Stegostoma tigrinum: one gene and its partners. The protein of the gene in region 3 purifies or fractionates together with the protein of the main gene of each other region. This does not show direct contact. Links are inferred from orthologs where the notes say so. Each region holds a gene or a part of one and is shown on either strand. Other genes may lie near its edges.

The links. The genes of interacting proteins can lie anywhere in the genome.
Region 1: the proteins of polyadenylate-binding protein 4-like (region 3) and paip1 purify together in Homo sapiens (co-immunoprecipitation; 3 studies listed by BioGRID and IntAct, with this or other methods). This does not show direct contact. The link is inferred for Stegostoma tigrinum from reciprocal best matches to the Homo sapiens genes PABPC4 and PAIP1.
Region 2: the proteins of polyadenylate-binding protein 4-like (region 3) and mkrn1 purify together in Homo sapiens (affinity purification with mass spectrometry; 3 studies listed by BioGRID and IntAct, with this or other methods). This does not show direct contact. The link is inferred for Stegostoma tigrinum from reciprocal best matches to the Homo sapiens genes PABPC4 and MKRN1.

What each region holds. Positions count from the first base shown.
Region 1 is NC_081356.1:133,967,184-133,974,890, forward strand, and holds the start of paip1 (polyadenylate-binding protein-interacting protein 1), read right to left. Parts: upstream 3,004-7,707; 5' UTR 2,928-3,003; coding exon 2,567-2,927; intron 1-2,566. UniProt on the Homo sapiens protein: Acts as a coactivator in the regulation of translation initiation of poly(A)-containing mRNAs. Its stimulatory activity on translation is mediated via its action on PABPC1. Competes with PAIP2 for binding to PABPC1.
Region 2 is NC_081371.1:23,327,804-23,334,727, forward strand, and holds the start of mkrn1 (probable E3 ubiquitin-protein ligase makorin-1), read right to left. Parts: upstream 3,004-6,924; 5' UTR 2,713-3,003; coding exon 2,597-2,712; intron 1-2,596. UniProt on the Homo sapiens protein: E3 ubiquitin ligase catalyzing the covalent attachment of ubiquitin moieties onto substrate proteins. These substrates include FILIP1, p53/TP53, CDKN1A and TERT.
Region 3 is NC_081377.1:33,630,408-33,637,571, reverse strand, and holds the start of polyadenylate-binding protein 4-like, read right to left. Parts: upstream 3,018-7,164; 5' UTR 2,459-3,017; coding exon 2,266-2,458; intron 1,958-2,265; exon of another isoform or gene 1,854-1,957; intron 151-1,853; exon of another isoform or gene 1-150.

The DNA of each region.
Region 1 (7,707 bases), on a different chromosome or scaffold from region 3:
AGTGAATGGAACTCTTATTCAAAAAGGGAGACAGTCAGTGCAGGAATCTACAGTTAGTTTGACGTTTGAAATCATTGTTAAAGACATTATGGAAGCGTACTAAAAACGTTCAGGTTACTCAGGCACAGGTAACATACTTTTCTGAAAGAGATCACATTTAACTGACTTAGTAGAATTCTCTTAAGTACTATTAAGAGGAGAATAGATCTCTTGTACATAGATTTCTAGCAGGCTTCTGATGAGGCGTTACATCAAAGGTTATTGTGCAAAATGAAAGCTCATTGTATAGTGATAACACATTGGCGTGGATTGCAGATTGGCTAGCTAACAGTAAAGAGATGCGGAATTGTTGCCTTCTGGTTCGCAAGGTGCAATGCTTGGTGTGTCACACAGATCCATGCAGGGACCACAAGTGTTTACAATTTGTAAAAACGCTTGGCAAAAGGACAGAAAGTCTGATCACCAAATTTGCTGATAACACAAGGCAGAAAGGAGAATAGGTAGGAACAGAGAACAAGAATAGGCTTCAAAGAGATGCAGCTAGCTTAAGTGAGCAGGCAAAGATCTAGTAAACAGTGTCTTGCACAAGAATGCAAAAACATCAATTTTTACAGGAAGAACAAAAACAAAACACAGCATATTATCCAAATAGTGAGAGACTGCACAGCTTTGAGATGCAGAGGGATCTGGATGCCCTACTGAATTAATTGCAAAAGCTACAGATACAGCAGATAATTTGGAAAGCTGAAAGAACGTGATGATTTATTCAAAGTAAAATTGAATACAAATTGAGAAAGGTTACGCTTCATTTAAACAGGGCACTGGTAAAACTGCATCTGGAAAACAGTACACAGTATTGATCACACATAACAGGGAGTAGGGCTGGACGAACAAAGCAGGCTAAGCAGCAAAGGAACAGAAAAGCTAATGTTTTGGGCCTAGACCCAGTATTGATCACCTCACTTAAGGAAGGATGTAGTTCCAATGGAACCTGTTCAGAGAAGGCTCACTGCACTAAAACTGAAATTGGTGGGGTGTCCTATGAGAAAAAGATTGACAGGCAGGGCTTGTATCTGCTGGAAGTTTAGAAGAGTAACCCCACTGGAATGCAACATGTGACATCCCAATGGACTTTGACAGGGCAAAACTGCAAAGCATGCTTCCTCTAACAAGAGAATCAAGAATTGTGGGTCAAAGCCTAAAAATCAGGGGCTGCTTGTTAAAAACACAGACAAAGCATTTTCTTCTCTTGCAGAGAGTCATGAATCTTTGCAACACTCCTCACTTCAAATGGCAGTGGGAAAAGAGTTATTGAATATTTTTACAAGTAGTTAATCAAGTCTTGATACGTCAAAGGTTAGCAGAAGTAGACAGGAAGTTTAACTTTTGGGAAGCATTACAGTTGTCTGTTCTTCTCTCTCTTCACCCCCCCTCCCCCCAACCCCAAGGCTGTCAACAGGTTGAGGAGACAGCTCACTGTGGGCAATAAATGTTAATCTAGGCAGCAAGGCTCATACTCCAGAAACGAATTAAATCAAGGAGTATGGACTTCGAATTGGTTGAGGAACTGAAAGTAAAGCATATTGGCGAGCAGTCATTATCCAGAATGGAAAGCAGTATAAAATATATACACAAAATTTTGATTCTGCCAAAGTACAAGAAATTAATGAGACATAACTTACCCCTTGATTATATACAACCTGCCATCACTTAGGTATTAACAGGCCTGAATCCTTTGTGGATGTTCTGGATTCTCTACATTGTCTGAAATAAATCTACCTGAGCTTACTGCAATTTCTACAATCACGCTGATTTAGGATATTGTTAAATTGGAGAGGATTCAGAAAAGATTTACCAGGACATTGCCAAGACTGGAGCGTTTGAGTTACAAAGAAAGGTTGGATCTTTTTTCGTTGAGTGTAGGAAATGAAGGTGTGACCTTATAGAGGTTCATAACATCATAAGGGCATGGATAAGGTGAATAACAAAGATGTTGATCAGAGGCAGCTTGAGTTGGACATAAGCGTCTGTTTCCATGTTATATGGCTCTATATACATTCCCCTTTCAGCAATGTATTTCAATTCCCTACAATCTCTGCTGATTCAATGTATCTCGTTGATACGGACTACCCAGGCTCTCTAATCTCCAAGATCTGACACATTCCCAATACGGGTGTAATTGAACTGATTATCTTTATGGTCTAGATAACTCCATTATTACTGTACTTGAATTCAGCAAACTGTACTGATTCTTTCGATTCCCCAACAGCAATGTAATTGAACTCCCTGACACATCCAGAGTATATAGTTTGATAACAACGCACCCTGCACGCCGCACAGATTCTACACACTCTCCTGACATCGATGTAGACTTCCAGAGGTTTCCCTCATGTCAACGATTTTGTACCCCCACAAACCGCTCACAGACTTGCCCTGATAACAATGCAAGTGACTACCTCCAAGCTGAGAGCCTACACATTATCGGGGAGGTGAGGCCCCCGCAAATGCCCACTAAGTGCCACACATGACCTGCAGTCTGTGTTGATGGGCTGCTCGCCCCATTTACCTGAGTACTCAGCGGCAGGTGGGCTGCTCCGCGGCTGTCTCAGGGGCTCCTGCTGCTGGATACCGCTCTTCACGTGAACGCCGTTGCCCTGCACGATCGCCGCCCCGTTGGCGGCAGCGGCGGCGGCTCCAGGGCCGCTCCCAGCCGCAGGGCCGACTCCAGGCCCTGAGCCCGGGGCCGCGCACAGCCCGTTTTCCTGAGCACCGTCACCGTGGCCCTGGGCCCTAACTCCACCCGGGCCCGGGGCTTGCGGCCCTCCGGTGGTGGTGGCGCCACCACTACTGCTACCGCTGAAGCTCCGGCCCCGCCCACGGCCCGCTCCCGGGGCCCGGTCGAAAGCGGCGGGTTTGCCGCCCTCCATCGTCCGTAACCGTTCGCCGCTTCAGACCCCTCCCCTCCCCCCAAAACAACATTCACTTCCGGCGGAAGTCGCTCGCGAAGACCCTCACCCCGCATCCGGTTCAAAACAAAACAGCCGGAAGTGCGCAACAATCAGGTTAACTGCCGCCCCTTTGTTCGCCGCCAAAGAGCCCGAGAGCAAGAAGCGACCAGGACGAAGGCTGGATGGTCCTCCAATCGACCAGAAGGCCTTGGGAATAGGAGGAAGTCGGCCGTTCAACCCATCGATTCTGCTCCGCTGTTCAAAGTGATTATCACAGATTTGTTATAAAGGAACAAGAGAAAGCCATTCAGCCGATAAATGACAGCAGGCTTTAATTAGTTCACGATGGACAAGGTCAGAAAGCACATGACATCAGGTTATAGTCCGACAGGTTTATTTGAAAACATAATCTTTCAGAATGCTGGTCTGTCATCTGAAGTGGAGGGAGTTACAGGTACAGAATCTATAGACGGAGAGTTATTTACAACGTCATTCCAGGTGATTAAGAGTGTCAAGAAACAGGACAAATGAGTGTCAAATGGTGTGAGTAAAATGTTAACAGCTGAATAGCAAGTGCAAGGATGACCTATGACCTAAATGATTTAAGAAAAGAAATAATTTTAAAAAATGAAATAATTTCTGTGCCTGTGCGTTTTCCTCCACGTAGTCTGATGAAGGAGTAGTGCTACAAAAGCTTGTGATTTCAGATAAACGTGTTGGTCTATAACCTGGTATCGTGTGACTTCTGACTAATGAGATCATGGTTGATCTGATAATCATAAATCTGCTATGTACGAATAGGAATAGTCCATTTGGCCCGTCAAGCTTTTCTACAATGCAGTGATATCATCGTTTCTTTGTGGTCTCCTACCACATCACTGCCTTTGGCTCATATCTCTTAATAACTACGCTTCAGAAAAAAGTTAGCCATCTCAGATTTAAAGCTAACAATTGATCTAGCATCCACTGTTATTTGTGGAACAGAATTCCAAACCTGTGTGTAGCAATGCTTTCTAACATTCCTCCTGAATGATCGAACCCTGCTTCTAGAATCTCCAATTGGTGGGAATAGTATATCTTCATCTAACTTGTCTTTTAATATCTCGAAGACTTGAGTCAGATCACCCCATAACCTTCTAAATTCAAGAGAAGGAGGCTGATCTCATCAATAATATCATGGCACTCTGATCATCATAGAAGGAGGCCATTCAGCCCATGTTGCTTCCACCAGGGGGCCATTGTCTGACAATTAGGGCCAGGCAATTCAGGAGAGATTAGGAAGGACTTCTACACATAATGGCTGCTTGGCCTGCTGTGTTCATTGTTATCTTGGATTCTCCAGCATCTGTAGTTCCCATTATCTCTGATCACGTAATGGCTGATAGATGTTTGGAACTCCCAGCCACAAACGGCAGTGGATGCTGGATCAGTTATTAATTTAAATATGGAATTGATCATTTTTTTTGTTAAGCAGAAGTATTAAGGGTTTAAGCCACAGACCAGCAAAGGTCTCTTTGAATGGTGGAAGAGGCTCAGGAGCTGGACAGCTGACTCCAGTTCCTAGTTCCTTCGCGAAAAGACATTGCTGCAAAGACCCTCACCAATCATTACTTCATCACCATTAGGCCAACATTTAATCTTACATTTTTAAAAACTGAATTGGAATTTCATCTCTGCCTTGTTGGGATTCGAACCCATAATACTATCAAAGAAGATTCTGAAGAAGAGCTATATTGCACTTGAAACATTAACTCTCTTTCTCTCACTAATGATGATGCCAAATCTGGTGAGTTTGTCCAGCATGTTCTGTTTTTAATCCCCAGAACATTAGCCTGTGGTTCTGCATGACTAACCCACGACACCACTGTCTCCCTTAATGTAGGTTATTACACGTAAGCAACTCGTCCAGGTTATGTGAATAGGATCGATATTGTTACAGACACTCTGAGGAAGACATAGATATGACTTCTCATTCCCTTAAGATTTAAGATATCCAGCCCACAATCCTTGTGACATCACTCGAGTATGTACTACTTACTGCAAACTATAGTATTAACCCTTTCAGTCCCATAACAACCATGCTTTTATTTTGATTATTATTTTACATTTGCATTCATAATTATATTTACCACTACCCCATCTGCCTCAGGTCGCTGACTTTACAAAGTCAAGTGATCTATGGGTTTCATTATTCTCTCAGAGTGTGTTCTTTCCAGTATTAGAAAGTTGATAGTTGCTGCTGGAAGATTATTTTCTGTGACTTACTTCTTGACAATGAGGGGCTGGAGGGCATTTTGAACCAGAGAACCTTTTATCTCTTGGATTTCCTTGGTAGAGAACAGCTTCACCAGTGAAACAGGCAACTGCTTCTTTGACGCACCCTGTTTATGACCATGGTATGGAGATTGACAGTTAACTGCTAGGCTTTGTTAAATTTTGAACCATGAAAGTTGATTCTGTGTGATAAAGTCATTTCCCTCAGAAGTGAACCAGCAAATGGTGGTCACGTATTTTGTTGAATTGGAACAGACACAGTGCATTGTAGAGGTTCGTTCTAACTGCAAAGAGCAGGGCCCTGTGTATTAATATGTGTAACTGCCCGTCCACACAAACTTCATCTATTAACGCACAGCACTTAAGTATTTGTAGTGGTAGAATTTCCATGGCAACACCTCTACCAATCAGAGACTTCTTGCCAACTAATCACTGTTTGTTTTTCCTACAGTGCAAATTGTATTACAAAACAACCTTCTTTTGAACTGATGAGTGCAAGATGAAAATCTTTGACAAAATGCAATTTTTTTCACTCTTACTCAACTTCAGTGCTCTGGTCAATCTAACAAAGAAACAAAGAAACCTACAGCACAGGAACAGGCCCTTCGGCCCTCCAAGCCTGCGCCGATCAAGATCCTCTGTCTAACCTGTCATCTATTTTCTAACGGTCTGTGTCCATTTGCTCCCTGCCCATCCATGTACCTGTCCAAATATATCTTAAAAGACGCTAACGTGTCTGCGTCTACCACCTCCGCTGGCAACGCGTTCCAGGCACCCACCACCCTCTGTGTAAAGAACTTTCCTCGCATATCTCCCTTAAACTTTCCTCCTCTCACTTTGAACTCATGACCCCTAGTAATTGAGTCCCCCACTCTGGGAAAAAGCTTTTTGCTATCCACCCTGTCTATACCCCTCATCTACTTTCTGTCTACCCCAGATAACCCTTACCCTACCTGCTATCTTCTCAAAGACCTATCTGCCTCTGCTTTACCTGCCTCCTACTCTCCACCACTGTTATCAATATCTCTCTGTCTCACCTGTAAAGTAGCACTATTAAAGACAGGAGAGGTCATTGGATAACTATTCCCCTTTTTTCTTACCTCTCTGTTGGTTTGAGAAGTGTTTCAAACCTTTGAGTGTTGTCTTTTTAAGGAATAAATATGTCAGTTCAAGCCATAAGAAAGGAGAAAAATTTATTTTCAGAGAACCCAAAAAGGAAATGCAATGAAAAACCCACCTTCTCAAGCACACGCAGACACACATCCATTTAAGAAAAGATAAGTTCCAGTGATGAAACACGCACTTAGAATGCTAACAGAGTAGCACGAAATGCATCACAACATTTCAGACCATCCTCTAGAATGAAAAGGGCTGAAGGGCCCTCTCTCTCCGTAAAGGAGTAAATAATAAGACGTCATAAGGTGTAACCCCTGTTTAAGCTGGTTTCAGTTTCATGATGGCAGTTTTAGTTCACATAATGGGTTGGAGCTCAGGTGATTGGTATGCAGCTAATAGATGGGGGCTTGTAATGATTGATATGCCACCAATATCACAGTTATGATTAGCTTATTGAAAATCCCTGTTTGACATTCCATAACTCTTGGTGTTGACAGATTGGGCAGCCTTTTAATATCCTTTCAACACAACCCGTTAAAATGTCGAGGGCAGTAAATTTGCGCCTGGAAAATGGGTTTGTATTTTGAAGCAAATACATTACCTCTTTCCAACCAGAACCTACCTAGGTCACCTGACTATCCAGAAACCCATCAGGACAGAGGTCACAAGAATACCAAATCTCAAAAGGAAAATCTGTACTGCACTGAAAGAGATTGCTGAATGTTTAGCAAGTGAATTAAATTGCTGGAGTGTTGCTGTGAAGAATGTATCAGGGGACAGTTAACTTCAAGCTTTTGTTTAAATTGAAACCAGACACGTCAACTCATATTGAGTGAGACATTGCTATGAGCATGGCCCGGAGAATGGCTCCCCTGCTACCCCTCAAGCTTCTGTTGATTTGAGAAAGAGGTAATGTGTGGGCATGTCCCCGCTAAATAGGACAGGGCCAAATGTGTGAGTACAGGCTACTAACACAGCCAAATGAGCCACACTTTGAAAAATCATTCAGTATAAATTGTAATTCCCTTTTAGATTTGGTACTCTTGTGATTCTGTCCAGATCAGTGCAAGACAAAAATGACAGGGTGTTTCTTTTTGACAAAGTTAAAGTTTTGTACCAGCCAGCATCTATCTAAGGGACATGGAGTAATCCAAGCTGTTTTTTTTAAGAGTACCAAACCCAATTATGTTCTGCAGTATGACGGATCAGCACCTCCAGCAATGAGGAAACACAACAAGCCACAAGACAGACAGTGGTCCTGATACTGACCAGAAGGAACAAGCTTAACATGCTCAACACAACAAAAAAGAAGGCCCTGGAAGGACTGCAAAAGGACAAAAACATCATAATCATTCTAGCAGACAAAGGG
Region 2 (6,924 bases), on a different chromosome or scaffold from region 3:
GGGACAAGAGCTACAGTGCCAGTCAATAGCTAATTTCAGCAAATGACAGCCTATCTACAACATTCAAGAGAACTCTCATTGCTAAATCTCACAACATCAACATTCATGTCATGTTAGCATTGTTAAGAATCTCAACCAGACAAGCTGCTGAAATACTGTGGTGACAAGAGCAAGGCACAGACTGGGTAGCCTGTGACACAATTAATTTCCTAACCTTGATTTCTCAAGGAATCAAGGGATGTGCAAATGGGAAAAGTAGAGTTCAGGCTAAAAATCAACCCTGATCAGACTGAAGGTAGAGCAGAATCAATGAGTCTCATGATCTACTCCTGCACCTATTGTATTTAACATATAATTTTGTCGGACATGGTCATCACTGGCAATGCCAGCATTTATTAGCCATCCTTAATGTTCCTTGCAAATTAGCAGTGAGCCACTTTTTTGACCATGAGGTACACCTACAGTGCTCTTAGGAAGGGACTTCCAGGGCTGTGACTGAATAACTGTGAAATAAATTCAAAATGATTCCAAGTTAGTATTCTGTGCTGCCTGAAGGGGAACTTGCAATTGCCATTATTGCTATACATCCGCTGCCCCCATATTTCTTGATGATTGAAGTTATAGGTTTGGAAGATGCAATTTCATAAATCTTGTTGAGCTGCTGCAGTGCATATACGTAACTGTACAAACTGCTGCCATTGTGCAATGGTGGTGCCAATCAAGCGAGATGTGGTAAGTCTTGTGTGAGACAGGATACTGTCTGATTTCATGGTATTTTTCAGGCATATCACTCCAGGTGGACATCAGACATCCTCTTAATCAACACATGAACCACCCCATGAAACATTTGCTGCCGGTAACAGCAGGACACTGTTTGCAATACATACTATCTACAACTTTGACTGCAACTTGCCAAAAAGTTTCTTCAACAACACCTTCCAAACCTGTGACCTCTACCACCTAGAAAAACAAAAACAGTAGACGTATGGGATTTCCACCACCTGCAAGTTGAAGAAGTATTCTTCATCTTCTTTAGGTGAAATTCCTGGAACACTGCTTAATACCATGTGGGAGCATCTCCAGCACAAGGATTCCAGTCATTCAAGAAGGCACTTCACCACCAAGAAATAGGCAACAATGTTGGCCATGCCAGTGATGTACATGTTACGAACACAAGATTTTTAAAGAAAGTGCTGTACAGAAATCTAACACCCACAGTTCTTTGTAAAACAAAAATCTAACATTTCCGGCTTTTAAACATTCAATTGGGCATTCTTCAACAGTTGTTTAAGATTTCTATTGCATTTTACTTGAGGAAGTGTCTTCTGATTTCACCAAGGGATGAACTCAAAGTTTATGTTGTTCTGGAGATACCCTCCAAAAGAAATAGACCAGCAAAAGAGAGGAGCCACTAGCTTCTGTGATCATCTTAAAAACCTCAAGAGAAGTGCTTAACCTTCTATATTTAAAGGAATACACCCTACTCAATTGTTTTTCATAATTTAACTCTTCTAGCCCTGATGAAACTCCAATCTGTACTTTGCGTTTTACAAACTCAATATAGCTTTCTGAGATACAGACCTCAAAACAGGATGCGGCAGCCCAGTTAATGTCTAAACCAGAGTCCTATATCATGAGAATACAACTTCCAACCTTTTATATTCCAGCCACCTGAGACAAATAACAGAAGTGTTATACGTGCATCAACCCCACTGACTCTGTGGCTGGACCCACAAATCTCTCTGCTCAGTCATAGTTTTTAGATTATTTCCATTTAAATACTGTAATTACTTTTAGATTCCAATTGGGCAAATCTCAGTTCTTACACTGAATTACATCTGCAAAAAGTTTTGCCCACTCTAACTAGCATAGTCCCTTTGCGATTTTACCCAACACTATCTCCAAGACTAAAATATTTGTGTGCTATACTACACTGTTGTTTCAAGTATCCAAAGTTACAGCATTCGACTGATCAACCCAGAAGACCATACGAAATTATACAAATTCGCAAATTTTGAGTAGAGATGCAAAGAAAAGTTCAGCTATAAACCAATTCGCTCCCTCGAATCTACAGTAAAATAGAAACAATAAGGTTTTACTCAATTGCTCCTAAAACTGTACAAAATATTCAATTATTTACATTCGATTTAAAACGTAAACGTACAATATATTTTAGGCTCTTACGAATATTGAGAAAACTAACTCTCGGCAGTTTTTGGTTGACATGACCTCAAAGTTTCTTAGCAACTTTCAAAGGCACCTCAGAACCAATAAACACATCCCTTTTAAAGACAACATGAAAAGGAGCCCGGAAAGATTCAGAACACTTTAAAAATCCGAAATCAAGAGGGAGTTGAACAAAACCCATTTCTTTTACTCCTATAAAACCCTGATGCATGCCATACCTAAAAGCCCCATCTCGGGAACTGGTCTAACTAGGAACAGTACCAATCGTTTTCTGTTTTCGTTGCCACTCGCAGCATCAACTGACGTTTAAACAGATCGCCTGTGAAAGGCCTTTTATGGTTGTGTGGCTGATTACATTCGGGCGTACAAAAGCTATGTGGCATAAAAACGAACCATCATTTTCGATTACCTGCACGTGACCTGTTTAGTCCAGCCAACTCCACCAGCGCCGCCACTACTGCTGCCTCCTGCTCCTCCAGCTGCTGCCGCCGCCGCCGTCCCCATGGATGCCGCTGCCTCCGCCATTATCCACCACAGTCACCGCGCGGCTACAGCGGGGCCTCCCACCGGCCCCTGCGCCACCACTTCCGGGGAAAAGGCTCGGTCTGGGGCTCGGGGTCGCGCACGCCGTCTCCAGAAGACGCTAACTGATACTTCCGGAGAGAACAAAACCGCACAAGCGCCACGTCCCGTCCACGATACGGATCACTCGTTCCGATCGGCGCCCGCCTACATGCAGGTGGTGGTGGGGTCAAGAGTGGAAAAAATAAAAAAAATTTAATAAAACAAAACTCGCGTCAGAGCCGTCCCCGTGAATAAAGTAAAGAGGATAAAGATGGAGAATAATCATGCAGATCCAGGTTTCTATGGTAACTGTGACTCCCTGAACAGCCCGGAAAATGTGATCGATAATTTCCGGAGAAAAGGGTTTGTCTCCCTCGGTATTTTCCGGAGACAGCGCATGCGCGGGTATTGAAAGCGAATGGAGTTTGGTCGGAGGGTGGCAGAGTGAGGTTGTTGCATCCATAATTTCAAAACAGGAGATGGCAAGTTGTAACGTAAACACGATGTCATTTACCATCACAACGTACGCCAAATATTGTACATAAGGCACCATACATGTTTTCTGGTTGCTGATATATTTGCTGACCGCTTAAAATACCCTCCCCCCGTGTACCAGGGAAGAAGTGATCACCTTGTGTTGAATTTTAAGATGTAATGCAGCCTTACACTATGGGTAGATGCGAATATTATTATGCAATAAATGTAAGTGACAAATCACGATGAAATTTGCAATAAATAAGCTCCACTTCGCGAGGTAGCAAAGTGTGGAGCTGGATGAACACAGCAGGCCAAGCAGCATCTCAGGAGCACAAAAGCTGACGTTTTGGGCCTAGACCCTTCATCAGAGAGGACCGAAACGTCAGCTTTTGTGCTCCTGAGAGGCTGCTTGGCCTGCTGTGTTCATCCAGCTCCACACTTTGTTACCGTGGATTCTACAGCATCTGCAGTTCCCATTTCCACTTCGCGGGGGCCAGATTTTCCGAGGAGCTTGGTCCTTCCCTAACGGAAGAAGGGAGAAGTCCGCATTTCTGAAGGAGATTCCGCTCAGGGCCGCTTAGAAATGCGGAACCATGCTTCCATTCTGACAGTTCTCGCAGTTAGCGACGCTGTTCTGAAACTCAATGATCCTCCTAGTTGCTGTCAAACGTCAAATGTTATAGGGGAAGAGTGAAGTCAGGGGGCTATGACTGGGTGCAGGATAGGTAGAGGTTATAGGGTACCAGGGGAGTATGGTGCCACGTTAGGGTGCCAGCTGGACTGTGGGTATGGTAGCAGGTGGTTCGATGCCAGATGGGTGCCTGCACACAATAGGGTGCCAGCTAAGTAAAGTACCTAATGGGTAGGGTGTCAATTGAGGTAGACTAGGGTGCCAAGTGGATAGGGGAAAGGCAAGTGTCTAAGATAAGTCAGCATGGGTAGGTCTAGCACAGGTTAGAGATCCTGGGAGCTTCAGGCCTGGCAGCAGGAGAGTGGGCGGATATCTAGACAGCAGAAGGGTTCAGTTCTTGTCCAGTCCAGCAGTTCGGGGGGAAATGGATAATCACGTCTGGCAGTGTGGGGTGGTTGAATCAGGTGGCAGTGGTCTGTGGGCTGATTTGGGAAGGCAGATTTGTTGGGTCTGATGGGTCCTGACGGAGGGGCCTGTTGGATCTGGAGACAGGGCGTTTGGTGGGTTTGGGGAAGGGGTATCTGGACCAGAAAGTAGTGGGTTTTGTATGTCACGAGGTCTGGGGTGTCAGGTTCCCAAACAGCATCTAGCCAGGGTTTGAGTGTAAGTTTAATGTATGGTCAAGAGTTATGCAATGTATTTAATGGTCTAGCTTTTCCTGAGTACTTCACTCTTATTCAAGATGTCCTGAGTAACTATTTTACTTAATTTCATTGCAACTATCCAATTTCTTAGATTTTTGTGGCATAATAGAATTGCCAGCAGAAAATTGAATTTCCCAGGCATTTACTTAGGAGAGTGCGACAGTGGGTTTCCTTGTAGTCCCCAAGCAATTTCCGTACGTGCTAGAATAACGCTGTCTGGTCAATAGAAATACTGCCTCAGTTGAAAAAGTAAAAAGAACACACAATCCACATAAGCATTAAACCATGGAATTCATTTTAAACTATGTTCTTTTCTGTTTTCCTCTTGCAGTTTGAGTATTTCAAAATTTCACTTTTTCTTAATTTAAATTACTGAATTTATCTTTCCACTTCAAGCTGCTTCATCTATAGCTGGATCCTGACTAACCCAAAATCATAGTGTTGTTACAGAGGAAATGAAGGCCTTTCAGCTTGCTGTTTCTTTGCCAGTCTCAATGTACTTTGTGCCATTCCCCTGTCTTTCCCCAAAAATCAGCACATTCTTCCTTTTCAGATGATAATCCAATTTTGTCTTGAATGCTTGAACTGATTAAGCCCTCACGCTACTCTCACACAATACTTCCTGGATTTTAATCTATTGCTGCATGTAAAACTCCTTCTTGTAACACCATTGTCTCTTCACCAAATGCAGTCACACTGTGGATTATCATCCCTGTCATAACTCACACCATTTGAGGATTATCAGTACATGGCTACTAATCTCATGGGATAAAAATAATACACACAGCACTAACTAATATATCTACATTGTATAACTAGCAGGCTAGATGAGGCCGTATTGTCATAGAGCTGAACAGCGTACAGCAAACCTCTCGGGCCAACTTGTCCATGCTGACCAGATATCCTAAATTAATCTAGTCCCATTTGCCAGCATTTGGCCCATTTCCCGCTAAACCCTTCCTATTCATATGCCCATCCAGATGCCTTTTAAATGTTGTAATTGTACTGGCCTCCACCACTTCATCTGGCAGTTCATTCCATACACGCACCATCCTCTGTGTGAAAAAGTTGCCCCCATAGATCCCTTTTAAATCTTTCCCCTCATCTTAAATCTGTGCACTCTAGTTTTGGGCTCCGTTAACCCAGGAAAAAGACCTTGTCTATTCACCCTATCCACGCCCCTCAAGATTTTATAAGCTTCTTTAAGGTCATCCCTCAGCCTCTGACGCTGCAGGGAAAATAGCCACAGCCTATTTACCATCTCCCTAAAACTCAAACCCTCCAACCCTGTCACAGCCCTTATAAATCTTTTCTGAACTGTTTCAAGTTTCTGAACATCCTTCCTATATCATGGAGACCAGAACTGAACACAGTATTCCAGTAGTAGCCTAACCAATGTCCTGTACGGCCACAACATGACTTGCTATCACCTATACTCAATGCTCTGACCAATAAGGGTAAGCATACCTAGTGCCTTCTTCTCTATCCTGTCTACCTGTGCCTCTACTTTCATGGAACTATGAACCTGCACTCCAAGATCTCTTTGTTCAGCAACACTCCCCAGGACCTTACTATGAAGTCTGTAAGTCCTGCCCTGATATGCCTTTCCAAAGTGCAGCACCTCACTTTCATCTAAATTAAACTCCATCTGCTATTTCTCAACTCACTGGCCCATTTGATCAAGGTCCTGTTGGACTCTGAGGTAACCTTCTTGGCTGTCTCCTGTACCATCAATTTTGGTGCCATCTGCAAATATACTAAATATACCTCCCGAGTTCACATCCAAATCATTTCAACAAATGACAAAAGCAGTGGACCCAGCACTGATCCTTGTGGCACACTGCTAGTCACGGGCCTCCAGTCTGAAAAGCAACCCTCCACCATCAGCCTTTGTCTTCTATCTTTGAGGTAGTTCTGCATCCAAATGGCTAGTTTTCCCTGTATTTCATGTGATTCAACCTTGCTAAACAGTAACCATGTGAAACCTTGTCAAACACCTCAATGAAGTCCTTATAGATCATGTCCGCCACTCTGCCTTCATCAAACCTCTTTTGTTACTTCTTCAGAAAACTTAAATCAAGATTGTGAAACACTACTTCCCATGCACAAAGCCATGTTGACTAACCCTAATCAGTCCTTGCCTTTTCAAATACATGTAAATCCTGTCCCTCAGGATCCTTTCCAACAACTTCCCCAACACTGACGTCAGGCTCACCTCTTTATAGCTCCCTGGCTTCTCCTTACCACCTTTCCGAAATAGTCACACCATATTAGCCAGCCTCCAGTCACTTGTGGCTATTGATGATGCAAATATCTCAGCAAGGGGCCCAGCAATCACTTCTCTTGTTTCCTACAGAGTTC
Region 3 (7,164 bases):
TTATTTCTGATTTAGATTAAGGAGGATTCCGATTGGCTGAGAACTGTGGTTATGCCCACGATAGTTGCACAGTTTCGCTCAGCATCAGAACCTTTCATTGTTTTGTGTTAGAGCTGGTGCTGTGATGTCAGGAGGATCACAGAACAACAACTGAAAAAGATTTTTTAAAAATTTTAACAGACATTAAAACAAAGTGAAACTAATAATCTAAGTGCAACAATTAAATCAAAAGGTATAATTATCCATATTTCAGCACACTAGTTATTGTTTTAAGCACTATAACTTGTGCTAAGATATATTACTTGTGTGCTGAAACTTATTCGGCTGAACAAGAAATTAGACAATGTCTGCTACTATCCTATTGTAAAATGAATTTAAGTTACTAGAAGACACCAAATAGCTTTTCCTCATCGTAAAATTTCCAAGGTGATAGATGCCAATTTTTTCCAAAATTCAATCACAGCAGGGACAAAGTAACATACGAAATGGCTAACACTGCACTTTCTAAAGCCAAGATGAATACCATCTGCTGATAATCCCCAGCATTGTTGCAAATACACAAAACTTGACCCAACAATCAGAGGAAGGGAAAGGGTAGATGTTCTCTGTGCAGAAACTATGTAATGCCAGATGAGATTGAATGAACTAGTCCAACATAGCAGACAAAAAACAATTTTAAGTACAAAAGTGAGTAAAAGGCTAGAAAACTATCTTATTACAATTAAAGTACATACAATCAGACACTCTCTCATCACTTAGTGGATAAATGGATAACCTGATATAGTGGTGAACCAGACATTCGAGAAAATCCAGGGTTCAAAGGCTGTAATTTGCTAAGTTTTCTGATCTCAAACCCAAGTCACAATCTACTTCAGCTCATTATGCTTGAAGATAAAGGAGAACTGCTCAGCAACAATGCAAAGCATTCAGTCACTGACAAGGATCATATTGCTGCATATTAGCACTTCAGACACATCTTCACTATACTTCAACGACATTTTAATATTGAAGGCATCCTTCAAAGTGACTACCCGTTAAGTCCCTTGGCTGAACTGCTACTTTGCAACATCCAGTGACACCAAAAGCATGGGTTCAATTCCTGTATCGACTGAGGTTACCATGAAGGAACTGCGTTCTCAATCCTGCCCCTCACCCAACACATGGTGGCCCTCAGATTAAACTCACCAGCAGTTATTTTTGTATTCTAAGAAGAAAGCGACCCATAGTCCTCTGGGAATATGGGTGCCTTTCACTTCAATCTTGAATTTTAATATGTACAAAACTCTAATCCAATTTTAGAGTACTATACCAATGACAGTAGAAAACTGCTAGGTCCTCCTTCCATCCTGTACAATATAATGGTTCCTTCAGAGGTCTTAACCAAAAGGACATTATATAAATGCAAAGTTTAGACTGCATTTGCTCGCTAACTCTGAGTCACAGCCATGAACTCTCCACAAGGGGTTCATCTGAAGAAATCTGGTATTGGACACTAATTGCTTTTTATTTCCCCTCAACCCAGAAACACTGAAGCTAATTATAGGTGCATTTTCCAAAATCTCTGCTAAAAATAGCTAATGAACAGTTTTTGTAGGTTGTTTGGCCTAGTAATAAATCAAGTCCTTCATCAGCTCATTGAGCCATGATAGGTGCTCTACAACTTTTCTTCCTCAAGGACATCAGGCCCATAACTGTTTTTTGTGCCTGAAATGCTTTTCACCTCCTGGATATTTACCTTGTCATGGCCCTGCCTGTAATTTCTTTAGAACATCTTAAAAAGAACTGTGCCAGCTGCCAATTCATTGCCAACCGTGACATTGACAAATGTTACAAGTCATTATCGATTTTCATACCTGTGACATTGTGTTTACAAACGGAGATCCCCAAGGTCATGAGATTTCAATCCCTTCAGAATTCGTAACCTTTTTTAATTTTACTAGCCCATCATTTCAGCTACCTGCAATGAAATCGACGAGGTTTTAAACTAACTGGCGGTGTATTTTAAAGATCGGGGCAGGGAGATCTCCCAGATGAGAAAAGTTTGGCGCTATTCAAACCATCGGACAGACGAGAAACATTTCCTTTCGCTTGCCAGCAGCCAGTGGTATTTATATCTCTGGGCAGTGATGAGTTTGGACGTTGGCCTCCAGCAGCCACACAGCCCCCAGTGACGAGGGGCTGGATGGAGAAGCCTGGGGAGAAGGGCGGATGTGGTTCGGTCGAAGATTTTTTTTAAAAAAAACAAAAATAAAGCGTCTGGCTCACCGTCTGCGGGCTGCTGGAAGTTGACATAGGCGTATCCGAGCGACCTCCTGGTGATCATGTCTCTACAAACCCTGATGGAGAGCACAGGCCCGGCCGGACTAAATTTCTCATACAGCATCGCCTCGGTCACATCTGGGTGCAGGTCGCCGACATAAAGCGAGGCCATCGGGTAACTGGCACCGGTCTGATTCATCCTCAGACAGTCCGACACAAATTAAACGATCAACTTTCCCCCCCCCCCCCCCCCTAACGAAACGGGAGACAGCGAGCGCGAGGAATTGAAAGAAAAAGGGGAGTGGGCGAGGAACCGTCGGGCAAAGAACTTTCCAGAAATGCTCGAACCGGTTAAATCTGATTCTCTTCCTTATCTCCTGAAGCCTGTGGCCTATTGAGTTAACAGATCCCCGGCTCTTATAATTCTTTTCTTTTGTTTTGTTTTTAAAAACCGCTTCAGATACTTCAGCTTCCAGAAACTTCGGAAGGTTTGTCCGCACCCGATTCCAGGCGATAAATCCCAGAGCGTGGCTGAGACCTGGTTGGCTTTATTTTTCCTTTTTTTTAAAATTATTAAAAGTAACTGGATTTTCGCCCTCTTCACAACTTAGTTCCACCGATTTTTATTTTTGTTTTTTTCTGTTTATAAGATTTTTTTGATTTTTTTAAAGATTTTTTTTCACGTATGAGTGTGCGCTACCTCAGGAGCTTTTCCACACTCACACATGTGGCTAGGAGACGGAGAGAGAGTAATGGAGGAGGAGGCTTTTTATATCAACCAGCAAACGGTCCCGTCATTTCCTGCGCCATCAGAATGAAAGGCAAAATGAACAAGAGAGGAGGAAAGAAAAAAACCCAACAACTCAGCTTAGTCAGCTACAGCCGCTGCCCTCTGCAGGCTCAACAGCTCAGAGTTTCTGTCCCTTCAAGTTCAGCAGGTTTGCAAAAGACTTCCAACGCAAAGCATGTGCCATAGTCTATCCGAGATAATGGGAACTGCAGATGCTGAAGAATCCTAGATAATAAAGTGTGAAGCTGGATGAACACAGCAGGCCAAGCAGCATCTCAGGAGCACAAAAGCTGACGTTTCGGGCCTAGACCCTTCATCAGAGAGGGGGATGGGGTGAGGGTTCTGGAATAAATAGGGAGAGAGGGGGAGGCGGACCGAAGATGGAGAGAAAAGAAGATAGGTGGAGAGAGTATAGGTGGGTAGGTGGGGAGGGGATAGGTCAGCCCAGGGAAGACGGACAGGTCAAGGAGGTGGGATGAGGTAGATGGGGGTGCGGCTTGGGCTGGGAGGAAGGGATGGGTGAGAGGAAGAACAGGTTAGGGAGGCAGAGACAGGCTGGACTGGTTTTGGGATGCAGTGGGTGGAGGGGAAGAGCTGGGCTGGTTGTGTGGTGCAGTGGGGAGAGGGGACGAACTGGGCTGGTTTTGGGATGCGGTGGGGGAAGGGGAGATTTTGAAGCTGGTGAAGTCAACGTTGATACCATTAGGCTGCAGGGTTCCCAGGCGCAATATGAGTTGCTGTTCCTACAACCTTCGGGTGGCATCATTGTGGCACTGCGGAGATTTTGAAGCTGGTGAAGTCAACGTTGATACCATTAGGCTGCAGGGTTCCCAGGCGCAATATGAGTTGCTGTTCCTACAACCTTCGGGTGGCATCATTGTGTAGCATTTTCTGCGGTTGCAGGGGAAGGTGCCGGATGTGGTGGGGTTGGAGGGCAGTGTGGAGCGAACAAGGGAGTCACAGAGAGAGTGGTCTCTCCGGAAAGCAGACAGGGGTGGGGATGGAAAAATGTCTTGGGTGGTGGGGTCGGATTGTAGATGGCGGAAGTGTCGGAGGATGATGCGTTGTATCCAGAGGTTGGTGGGGTGGTGTGTGAGAACGAGGGGGATCCTCTTTGGGCAGTTGTGGCGGGGGCAGGGTGTGAGGGATGTGTTGCGGGAAATGCGGGAGACGCGGTCAAGGGCATTCTCGATCACTGTGGGGGGAAAGTTGCGGTCCTTGAAGAACTTGGACATCTGGGATGTGCTGGAGTGGAATGTCTTATCGTGGGAGCAGATGCGGCGGAGGCGGAAGAATTGGGAATAGGGGATGGAATTTTTGCAGGAGGGTGGGTGGGAGGAGGTGTATTCTAGGTAGCTGTGGAAGTCGGTGGGCTTGAAATGGACATCAGTTACAAGCTGGTTGCCTGAGATGGAGACTGAGAGGTCCAGGAAGGTGAGGGATGTGCTGGAGATGGCCCAGGTGAACTGAAGGTTGGGGTGGAAGGTGTTGGTGAAGTGGATGAACTGTTCGAGCTTCTCTGGGGAGCAAGAGGTGGCGCCGATACAGTCATCAATGTACCGGAGGAAGAGGTGGGGTTTGGGGCCTGTGTAGGTGCGGAAGAGGGACTGTTCCACGTAACCTACAAAGAGGCAGGCATAGCTGGGGCCCATGCGGGTGCCCATGGCCACCCGCTTAGTCTGTAGGAAGTGGGACTTCACCAGTTTCAAAATCTCCCCTTCCCTCACCGCATCCCTAAACCAGCCCAGTTCGTCCCCTCCCCCCACTGCGCCACACAACCAGCCCAGCTCTTCCCCTCCACCCACTGCATCCCAAAACCAGTCCAACCTGTCTCTGCCTCCCTAACCTGTTCTTCCTCTCACCCATCCCTTCCTCCCACCCCAAGCCGCACCCCCATCTACCTACTAACCTCATCCCACCTCCTTGACCTGTCTGTCTTCCCTGGACTGACCTATCCCCTCCCCACCTCTGCACCTATACTCTCCTCTCCACCTATCTTCTTTTCTCTCCATCTTCGGTCCGCCTCCCCCTCTCTCCCTATTTATTCCAGAACCCTCATCCCATCCCCCTCTCTGATGAAGGGCCTAGGCCCGAAACGTCAGCTTTTGTGCTCCTGAGATGCTGCTTGGCCTGCTGTGTTCATCCAGCCTCACATTTTATTGCCATAGTCTATCCCTTCAGGTTACTCTCTGAAGAGTCTGGCCCACAAGGGTATTCACGGACTACAAGATTGGGTCCCACCTCCGTCGTGCCCTGGCCCCCTCCGAAGCTGTGATTATGTCTGGGTCAAGAGGCAGAAGCTCCTGCATGGTCAAAGCAACTGGGGAAATCTTCAATAGATAACAAGGTGTAGAGCTGGATGAACACAGCAGGCCGAGCAGGAAGGCTGACATATCCGGCCTAGACCCCTCTGATGCTGCTTGGCCTGCTGTGCTCATCCAGCTCTACACCTTGTTATCTCCGATTCTCCAGCATCTGCAGTTCCTACTGTCTTGGGGGAAATCTTCATTTTGGTTGTAAGTTGGGGAGGGGTTATGATATTTCATTGCTCTGTTTCACAGCTGTCAGGCACAGCAATATTTTTTATGGAATCTTGCAAAACCTTACTAGGCAGAGGAACATTATAAAACAATTGTGTGACAACAAACCCATTAAGGAGTGTTGTAAAAATGGAAAGTGGGGAGAGGTGTCAGGAGGGATTTCCAAAGTTTGCGCCCCAGATACAGCGACCACTGGTGTAGTAATTAAAATTTAGGGTAATGCACAAGAGGCAAGAGTTAGTGGATTGCAGATATCCCAGGGGATTGTGGGGCTTGGGATGGGGGAGAAGTTCAGACAATAGAGGGATTTGAAAAATGAGAATTTCAAAAGGATAACATTGCTTGTTTGGAGGTCAGTGAGCACAAGGATGATAGGGCAATGGTACTTGTGTGTTAACATGCAGGCAACAATATTTTGAATGATCTAAATAGAGTATAGGTTATGGGAGACCAGCCAAAGGTGCATTGGAATGGTCAAATCTAGAGACAGAGAAGATAGACGAGCTGAGGCAGAGATAACAAAGTGTAGAGCTGATCTAGGCCCAGAATGTCAGCTTTTCTGCTCCTAAGATGCTGCTTGGCCTGCTGCGTTTATCCAACTCTACACTTTGTTATCTCGGATTCTCCAGCATCTGCAGTTCCTATTATCTCTGAGCTGAGACAGAACTGACTTCAGATGATGTTACAATGTGGAAGTAGACATTCTTAGCGATAGCATGAATGGGAAATCAGAGGTTCAGTTCAGGATCAATGCCAGTCTGACTTAATATTAGACTGTTATCAGCGAAAGGAATAGAGTTTGTAACTAGGGAATAGGGTATGGATTTGGGTTAAAGGCAATGACTTCAGACTTCACAATATTTAATTGGAGGAAATTTCTACTCAACCAGTACCGGATATCGGATAAGCAGTCTGCTCATTTATCAGCAGTGAAGAAGTCAAGCTGGTGAAGGTAGATTTGTGTGTTGTTATAGTGTACGTGTGAAAACTAATGCTGTGCTTTTGGATGGAGTTCTCGTTTGGTAGCATGTAGATGGGAAATAGGAAGGAACCAAGGATATATCTTTGACACCAGAGACATCAACACAATAACAGGAAAAGGAACCATGACAGTGATTCTCTGGCTACAATAGAATAAACAAGAGTAGAAACAGGTGACAGCAGTTACATCTATCTGAATGACAGTTTGAAAGGTGTAAGAGGTTATTGCTATGGTCAACCATGTCAAACTCTGCAGATGGATTAAGAAAAATGTAAAGAGAAAGTTTACTATGGTCACGGTCACATAGGCTGTAATTTGTGATTTTGATAAGAACTGTTTGGTACTGTGTCAGGTAGAAATTGATTGAAGGGATTCAAACCTAGAATACAAAAGAAAAAGAGATAAGGTGTAGAGCTGGATGAACACAACAGGCTGAGCAGCATCTTTGTTCCTAAGATGCTGCTTGGCTTGCTGTGTTCATCCAGCTCTACACCTTGTTATCTTGGATTCTCCAGCATCTGCAGTTCCTATTATCGCTGATACAAATGAAAATCTTGTGTTTCTTCAGTGATTTCGCAGTCCAAAGTGCTTTA